Xenopus tropicalis: one gene and its partner. The protein of the gene in region 1 binds, or shares a complex with, the protein of each later gene. Links are inferred from orthologs where the notes say so. Each region holds a gene or a part of one and is shown on either strand. Other genes may lie near its edges.

Region 1 (3,596 bases):
AAAAACAATAGGTTAGCTGAAAGCAGTTCTAATGTGTAGCGCTGGCTGAAAGCTCAGACTCAGGCACACTTTACTGCTGCGCTGCAAGTTGGAGTGATATCCCCCCCCCTCCCCCCAGCAGCCGATCAGCAGAACAATGGGAAGGGAGCAAGATAGCAGCTCCCAGTAGGTATCAGAATAGCACTCAATAGTAAGAAATCCAAGTCCGGCTTGGAACTCCTCCAATTACATGGGAGTAGGAGAAACAATAGGTTAGCTGAAAGCAGTTCTAATGTGTAGCGCTGGCTGAAAGCTCAGACTCAGGCACACTTTACTGCTGCGCTGCAAGTTGGAGTGATATCCCCCCCCTCACCCCCAGCAGCCGATCAGCAGAACAATGGGAAGGGAGCAAGATAGCAGCTCCCAGTAGGTATCAGAATAGCACTCAATAGTAAGAAATCCAAGTCCGGCTTGGGACTCCCCCAGTTACATGGGAGTAGGAGAAACAATAGGTTAGCTGAAAGCAGTTCTAATGTGTAGCGCTGGCTCCTTCTGAAAGCTCAGACTCAGGCACACTTTACTGCTGCGCTGCAAGTTGGAGTGATATCCCCCCCCCCTCACCCCCAGCAGCCGATCAGCAGAACAATGGGAAGGGAGCAAGATAGCAGCTCCCAGTAGGTATCAGAATAGCACTCAATAGTAAGAAATCCAAGTCCGGCTTGGGACTCCTCCAGTTACATGGGAGTAGGAGAAACAATAGGTAAGCCAGTACTAAGAGATGCCCATTCTAAAAACACGTGCCCCCGGGGTCTGGATTTGCTCCGTTCTCAGTGCCGGATTGGAAACATCCCCTAAAATCAGATCCAGATACCGCCGGAGAGCAGTTGCGTTTCTGTGCCCTTTTGGGCAGCGGATGAGAGAAATTAGTGAGATTAATATCGGTTTCTGCTGATAAATGACTCCCGGGGGGGAATATCCATCTTTACTGCACGCTGCGTTCCTATTGGTTTAGAGACAGACTGGGAGTATTGATTCCAACGGGGCCCAAAGGTCACTGCTTCCTCGTTAGGAGCCGAGTTATTTGTCAGCTGAGTTGGGGAATGAGGGGGGGGGTAATACCTTGGGGTTCATCTATTCATATTGGGGTGAGGGCAGATGAAGTCTTGTTGGACCTGATACTTTAATGACGTTGGTTCTTATTTCTATTTCTAGACTCTTCCAGAAGTTTGTTCCGAACAAGACGAACTGGACTTTCTGATGGAAGCTCTGATTATAAGGTAGGGGGCCCTGGTTAATATCAAGAGCCGAGCCAGCCGGTTCCCCTTGTTACCCAGACAGGTCCGAAGTAAGACTCATAATAGGCCCTGGCATTACCCAGAGGTCAGCACACAGAGTGGTTCTGGGTATCGGGCCCGTTGCACGTTTCCATGCTAAATGCCGGACCTCAGTGCCCCGGGGCACCGGTGCCAATCTCTGAATTACCCCAAGCCTGCAATGTGCAGGTACCAGCGGGTTCTTGAATCCCCCACACTGGGGTTCTTAGCAAGGAGGAACCATTACACAGGGCCCGACTGTGAGTGACAAACAGCTGGGGGGCCCCTGAGTAAGGGGGGGCTCTGTTGCTTTCTGTTCCTGGCTGGGGGCCCAGCGGGTTCTGCAGGGACAGCAGGCTGATAATGAGCCGGTGGAACTGGAGACAGAACATCAATAGAACCAGCGAAGTGTGGCCCCCGGCTGTTAATGATGTGACTGCGCTCGATTGGCTGTCAGGGTGAAGGTTAAACGGTCCCTTACTGTCCCCATTAGAAGCCACACAATCAGCACAATCGGCTACAGCCACTCAATGGGTTTGTCGCCATTAAGTAGAACTGCCCTTGTCACTCAGGGTCTGAAACCAACACGGGTCGGAAATGGTTCTACTGGGGCCCCGGCCAATAAGGGCTTTGAGTCTGGTTTGTGGGGCATCGCTGGGTGTCTGGGTCGGGCCCATTGGGGTTTTGGCCTAAACTGCCCCACGTTTATTTTATTAAATTGCCTTTATTGTCACAATGCGGGCAGCAGCAACGTTTCGGGCCTAATTGGCTCTTTCTCACTGTAGGAATTGGGCACCCGCTTATGCCCCTCACGTGGGTGCTGTTCCTGGAGACAAAGAGAAATAAAATGTGACCCAGAGCACCCAAGGGAACCCTAGTGAAATCTCAGGGCAAAGTGCCGGGCAGCGGCCGATAAACATTGGGGTCGTTACGACCGACTAAAGGTGGCCATACACGAGCAGATCCGCTCGCTTGGCGATGTCGCCAAGCGAACGGATCTTCCCCCGATATCCCCACCTACGGGTGGGCGATATCGGGGAGTATTTAGGTAAAAAAAAAAATAATCCGATCGTTTGGCCCTGGGGCCAAACGATCGGATTATGTGGGCGGCAATGGGGCAGTCGGATCGGGGACCGCATCAACGAGCCGATGCGGTCCCTGATCCGACCGGATTTTCTAACCTGGCCGATCGAGATCTGGCCAGATATCGGTCGGCCAGGCCAGGCCGCTCTGCTCTCCCCATACACGGGACGATTAGCTGCCGAATCGGTCCAAGGGACCCATATCGGCAGCTATAGTCGGCCCGTGTATGGGGACCTTAAGGGCCGACAGGCCTCCCCGACTCACAGCCTAGAATTGGGCAGATGTAGAACGGACAGGCTTGATTATCAAATCTGAGGAGGGGTGGGGAGGGGTCGATACCGGGAGGGGTCGGTACCGGGAGGGTGGGGGGGGGTCGGTACCGGGAGGGGTCGGTACCGGGAGGGTGGGGGAGGGGTCCGGTACCAGGAGGGGTCCGGTACCGGGAGGGTGGGGAGGGGTCGGTACCAGGAGGGGTCGGTACCGGGAGGGTGGGGAGGGGTCAGTACCAGGAGGGGTCGGTACCGGGAGGGTGGGGAGGGGTCGGTACCAGGAGGGGTCGGTACCGGGGAGGGGTGGGGAGGGGTCGGTACCGGGAGGGTGGGGAGGAGTCGGTACCGGGAGGGTGGGGAGGAGTCGGTACCGGGAGGGTGGGGAGGGGTCGGTACCGGGAGGGTGGGGAGGGGTCGATACCGGGAGGGTGGGGAGGGGTCGGTACCAGGAGGGGTCGGTACCGTGAGGGGGAGGACAGGTCGGCAGGGACAATACAATATTTATGTGCAAAACACTGACCTTCATGTCCTTCTGACCGTTGAGATGTGGGAATGGTAATTACATTTGGGTCGGAGCCAGAACCTCACGTATTCTCTCTCTCTCTCTCTCCCAGTAAATTCAGCCACCAGAACATAGTGCGGTGCATCGGTGTCAGCCTGCAGGCGCTGCCCCGGTTTATCCTCCTGGAACTCATGGCCGGAGGGGACCTGAAATCCTTCCTCAGGCAGACGCGGCCCCGGCTGGTGAGACCCCCCCTTGTCTGCTCCTTGTGCTGCAGAGCCCCCCGGCCCCACTGCAGAGCCCCATTAGCCTGGATCCGTGACACACACAGCGGCCTCCATGTTTGTTCCACTTGGGGGGGAAAAGCTCAATCTTTTGTTGCTTAATTGCATTATGGACCTTTGTGTGGGGTTTATATGCCCTTTAAATGGCTGGCTCGCCTTTACATGA
Region 2 (4,302 bases), about 130 Mb from region 1:
ATATCCATAATCTGGCATGGGGTTCTCCTTCTCGTCCAGGCTGTAGTCTTCTTTCCTGGCCAAATGCTGCTTCCCATTGCCTTCCTGCAGACGGTACACTTTAACCTCTTTAATGAGTCTCACAATGAAGTTCATCAGGTTTTTCTCAGTTATATTCCTGGAGTCAGTCCTCTCTTTGCAGTGGCAGGCAGGCAGCACCAAGAGCACCACAACCAGCATGGCAGCACCCCTGAGTTTATTCATAGCTGCTCCAGGTAAGCGCAATCCGTCCAGTTTGGAATCCTGCTGCTGCTGCTGCTTCGCGGACAAGTAACAATAATGAAGAAAGAATGAATAATCATGAAGTGGGTGTTTTTGTTAAGACTCCCAGCCCTGTCACTGGTGTGGTTAACCCTTTCCCTTTCACTAACAAAACTCATGTGCTCACTTTTCACTGAAACAGAGGATGAATCTAGGGACCCTGGGTACTGCAGGGAGGTTGGGGTCCCAATATGAGGGAAATGGAAAAGAGCACACAGATATGCAAGCTTTCACCCTACAGTGATTGTTGAGCTATAACTCCAAACATTCCCCAACAGCTTGCAGTTCAACAACAGCTGGAGGGGCACAGGCTGAATTAAAAAGGGTCCCTGAGATACAGGGAGGAATAGGGCAAATGTCCTATCTGTCCTACCCTAAAATATCTTCTGCCCTCCATGCAGTAATAGCCACTTTTGCAACTTGGATTCCCTAATACTAGCCATCCCCAGTAATTACTGCCAAAGAAGTGTGTTTCTGAGTTGTGCACAAGTGATACAAGTGCACAAGTGATACAAGTGCCCAAGTGATACAAGTGTAACCTAAACCACAATCACCTCACCTTGTCTGTTGCTTTCTGGCACTTTTGGAGAAAAGCTTCAGTTCTTCTGGCTGGTAAATGGCACAGACCAGTGACACTTTGGGAAAAGCTTCAGTTCTCCTGGCTGGTAAATGGCACAGACCAGTGACACTTTGGGAAAAGCTTCAGCTCTCCTGGCTGGTAAATGGCACAGAGCTTGTGGCACTTTCTAGGTTGAATCTGGGGACGGGGGGGGGGGGGGAGAGTTGCTGCGACTCTCAGCTGGTGGAAACCATCGCCAGCGCTGTGAATGGCTCTTCTATATATAGTTTAGGATGCCGGTGAGGTGGCTGCTGGGTCTGATAATATCGAATTGGATGTGGGAGGAAACAATGCAGGTTGGTGCGAGTACGTTTAGCCCCCCCAGTGCGACCCCCAGTCGCAGGACAGTAGCGCACTTTATCCACTTTGCGCTGCAGACGTAAGGAGCGCTCTCTCTCCGATGGGACTGGCTCATCAGATAGCGCTTCCCAGGGAAACCCATTGCCTTGTTCCCGGTCGCACAACTCCCTCCTGCAGGAATCGCTGCGGCTTCTACCGGGAAACGATTTAACTGGAAATGTACAGATCGCGCTTTGCTTGGAATCTGGGGCCCTTGGGCTGATGGTCAGGCTGCCTGGCAGGGGCCCCACTCCGGCTCCCTATATGCACCCTGTACTGCCCAGTGGCCCTCACTCTCTTACTCTGCTTTCTCTATGGGCGGAAGAATTGAAAGTAAATGCGCTCAGGTTGAATTTTGTATTAAAACTGCTGTGTGCCCCCCACATTGCTTTTACCCTAGGCGCAATATAACATGGCGATTGCATTATCTTCTGCTTTTGTTTTAGGTGCAGATCTGCTAAATACCCCCAACTTTACCCCTCCTACTGGCACAGGGTCCAACAGGTGCAGATCTGCTAAATACCCCCAACTTTACCCCTCCTACTGGCACAGGGTCCAACAGGTGCAGATCTGCTAAATACCCCCAACTTTACCCCTCCTACTGGCACAGGGTCCAACAGGTGCAGATCTGCTAAATACCCCCAACTTTACCCCTCCTACTGGCACAGGGTCCAACAGGTGCAGATCTGCTAAATACCCCCAACTTTACCCCTCCTACTGGCACAGGGTCCAACAGGTGCAGATCTGCTAAATACCCCCAACTTTTCCCCTCCTACTGGCACAGGGTCCAACAGGTGCAAATTGCTAAATACCCCCAACTTTTCCCTTCCTACTGGCACAGGGTCCAACAGGTGCAGATCTGCTAAATACCCCCAACCTTGCCCCTCCTACTGGCACAGGGTCCGACAGGTGCAGGTCCGCTAAATACCCCCAACTCTGCCCTTCCTACTGGCACTGGGTCCAACAGGTGCAGATCTGCAAAATACCCCCAACTCTGCCCTTTCTTTCAGCAAGGGGACCTTTGGGTACAGATCTGCAAAAGAAGAGCCCCAACTGTGCTTTCCCTAGTGGGACCCCAGTATCTCCCTACTGGTACAGGGATGCCCCGGTGGATATATGCAATGGAATATCCCCATTCTGCCTTCCCTGCTGCCATAGGGGCCCAGGTACAAATGTGCTTGGGAATATCCCCATTCTGCCTGCCCTGCTGCCATAGGGACCCAGGTACAAATGTGTTTGGGAATATCCCCATTCTGCCTGCCCTGCTGCCATAGGGACCCAGGTACAAATGTGCTTGGGAATATCCCCATTCAGCCTGCCCTGCTGCCATAGGGACCCAGGTACAAATGTGCTTGGGAATATCCCCATTCTGCCTGCCCTGCTGCCATAGGGACCCAGGTACAAATGTGCTTGGGAATATCCCCATTCTGCCTGCCCTGCTGCCATAGGGACCCAGGTACAAATGTGCTTGGAAATATCCCCATTCTGCCTGCCCTGCTGCCATAGGGACCCAGGTACAAATGTGCTTGGGAATATCCCCATTCAGCCTGCCCTGCTGCCATAGGGACCCAGGTACAAATGTGCTTGGGAATATCCCCATTCTGCCTGCCCCGCTGCCATAGGGACCCAGGTACAAATGTGCTTGGGAATATCCCCATTCTGCCTGCCCTGCTGCCATAGGGACCCAGGTACAAATGTGCTTGGAAATATCCCCATTCTGCCTGCCCTGCTGCCATAGGGACCCAGGTACAAATGTGCTTGGGAATATCCCCATTCTGCCTGCCCTGCTGCCATAGGGTCCCAGGTACAAATGTGCTTGGGAATATCCCCATTCTGCCTGCCCTGCTGCCATAGGGTCCCAGGTACAAATGTGCTTGGGAATATCCCCATTCTGCCTGCCCAATAGGCTGCTCAGTCAGTTGCAGATGCCAAACAACAGTGCACTCACACCTTGTCACACTGGAGGATGCCAAATGGCAGGGGAGGCTTTCCCCAGCTCAGGCAGTCAAGGTGAATGATGGAAAAATCTGATCTTGTTGAACTTTTCTATTTGCTTTCATTTGTGTGTTTACCACTCCCAGCAGAAAGCAAATAATGTGTATGATCGCGGCTTTTCTGGATGTGAAGAAGTAGAACGGGACAGAAATAGGGTGTAAACAATGATAATACCCAGAAGAGCGACAGTTTCATCCCTAAAGACTTACAGGCACACTATGTCATTAAGGGATCAAAGAGCATGCCTTTGTGTCACACTATTCCTGCACTGTATGGCCTCTCCTTGAGCGACACACCCTGGCACATACTGGAATTGCACTCTCAAATGTTTCCTCAGTTTCATATAGCATTTATGCTTGAAATGTCAGGCTCAGGCTGCTTGGTTTTAGAACATAAAAACTATTACATTAAACACTTACTGTATAGTTAAAATATAGCCAGTTACATGCACTGATACTAGATGGTTCTGCCCAGGACAAGGTTAGATTGCAACAACTGGGGCCCAGAGTAAGTACTAAGAAAAATACTGAAATCATGGTCTGACTTCCCAGCACTACTGCTGGCCGTGCAGATAGAACATATAATTGTAGGTCGACAGTAATGTTTCCTCTTTAGGATAGTCTGTGAAATGTAAGAGAATTACTGGGGATGAAGAGAAGGTTGTGGCCACTCATTTATTACACTGAAGTCTTTATTTTTAACAACTACACGATTATTAAATGCTATTTTCCCTTCAGTCGGTAAAAATTCTGTTAGTTACTGAGCTGGAAACAGACTAAAGGGCATCTCTTTCCCCCATGATGTCTCCACCTTGGATCGCATTGTCTTCTTCTGTCATCTTGAGTCTCTGGCTGTTTGATAGGAACTTACTCACCATAACAACAGCAAAGGGAAAGTTTACTTAATGATACGACAGTGTTAAACAGTTATATAAAGTGTTTCCTCTGTCTTTATTGGGAATGGTTATTGACTGATTTAACTTAACAGTATTTTTGATTTTGCATTTTTTTGCAGTAGAATACATAAAAGTTTTATTTTTATTTATTGAT

The links. Proteins that work in one complex are often made in the same cells at the same time.
Region 2: the proteins of alk (region 1) and alkal2 are in contact, whole or in part, in a cryo-EM structure (PDB 9G5I), measured with the Homo sapiens proteins. The link is inferred for Xenopus tropicalis from reciprocal best matches to the Homo sapiens genes ALK and ALKAL2. Residues at the interface, in NP_004295.2 of Homo sapiens: Leu684, Tyr739, His755, Ser758, Leu760, Phe856, His857, Glu859, Leu965, Tyr966, Thr967, Pro968, Leu970, Lys971, Val972, Met973, Glu974, Glu978, Asn980, Val992, Glu994, Cys995, His996, Met997, Phe1007, Asp1009; in NP_001002919.2 of Homo sapiens: Ser112, Lys113, His114, His116, Arg117, Leu118, His120, Asn121, Thr122, Arg123, Asp124, Arg133, Arg136, Leu137, Arg140, Leu141.

Annotation. Positions count from the first base shown.
Region 1 is NC_030681.2:6,140,114-6,143,709, reverse strand, and holds part of alk (ALK tyrosine kinase receptor), read left to right. Parts: intron 1-1,191; coding exon 1,192-1,256; intron 1,257-3,258; coding exon 3,259-3,388; intron 3,389-3,596. UniProt on the Homo sapiens protein: Neuronal receptor tyrosine kinase that is essentially and transiently expressed in specific regions of the central and peripheral nervous systems and plays an important role in the genesis and differentiation of the nervous system.
Region 2 is NC_030681.2:133,736,483-133,740,784, forward strand, and holds the start of alkal2 (ALK and LTK ligand 2), read right to left. Parts: upstream 2,841-4,302; 5' UTR 860-2,840; intron 799-859; exon of another isoform or gene 295-798; 5' UTR 244-294; coding exon 1-243. UniProt on the Homo sapiens protein: Cytokine that acts as a physiological ligand for receptor tyrosine kinases LTK and ALK, leading to their activation. Cytokine-binding is sufficient to activate LTK. In contrast, ALKAL2-driven activation of ALK is coupled with heparin-binding to ALK.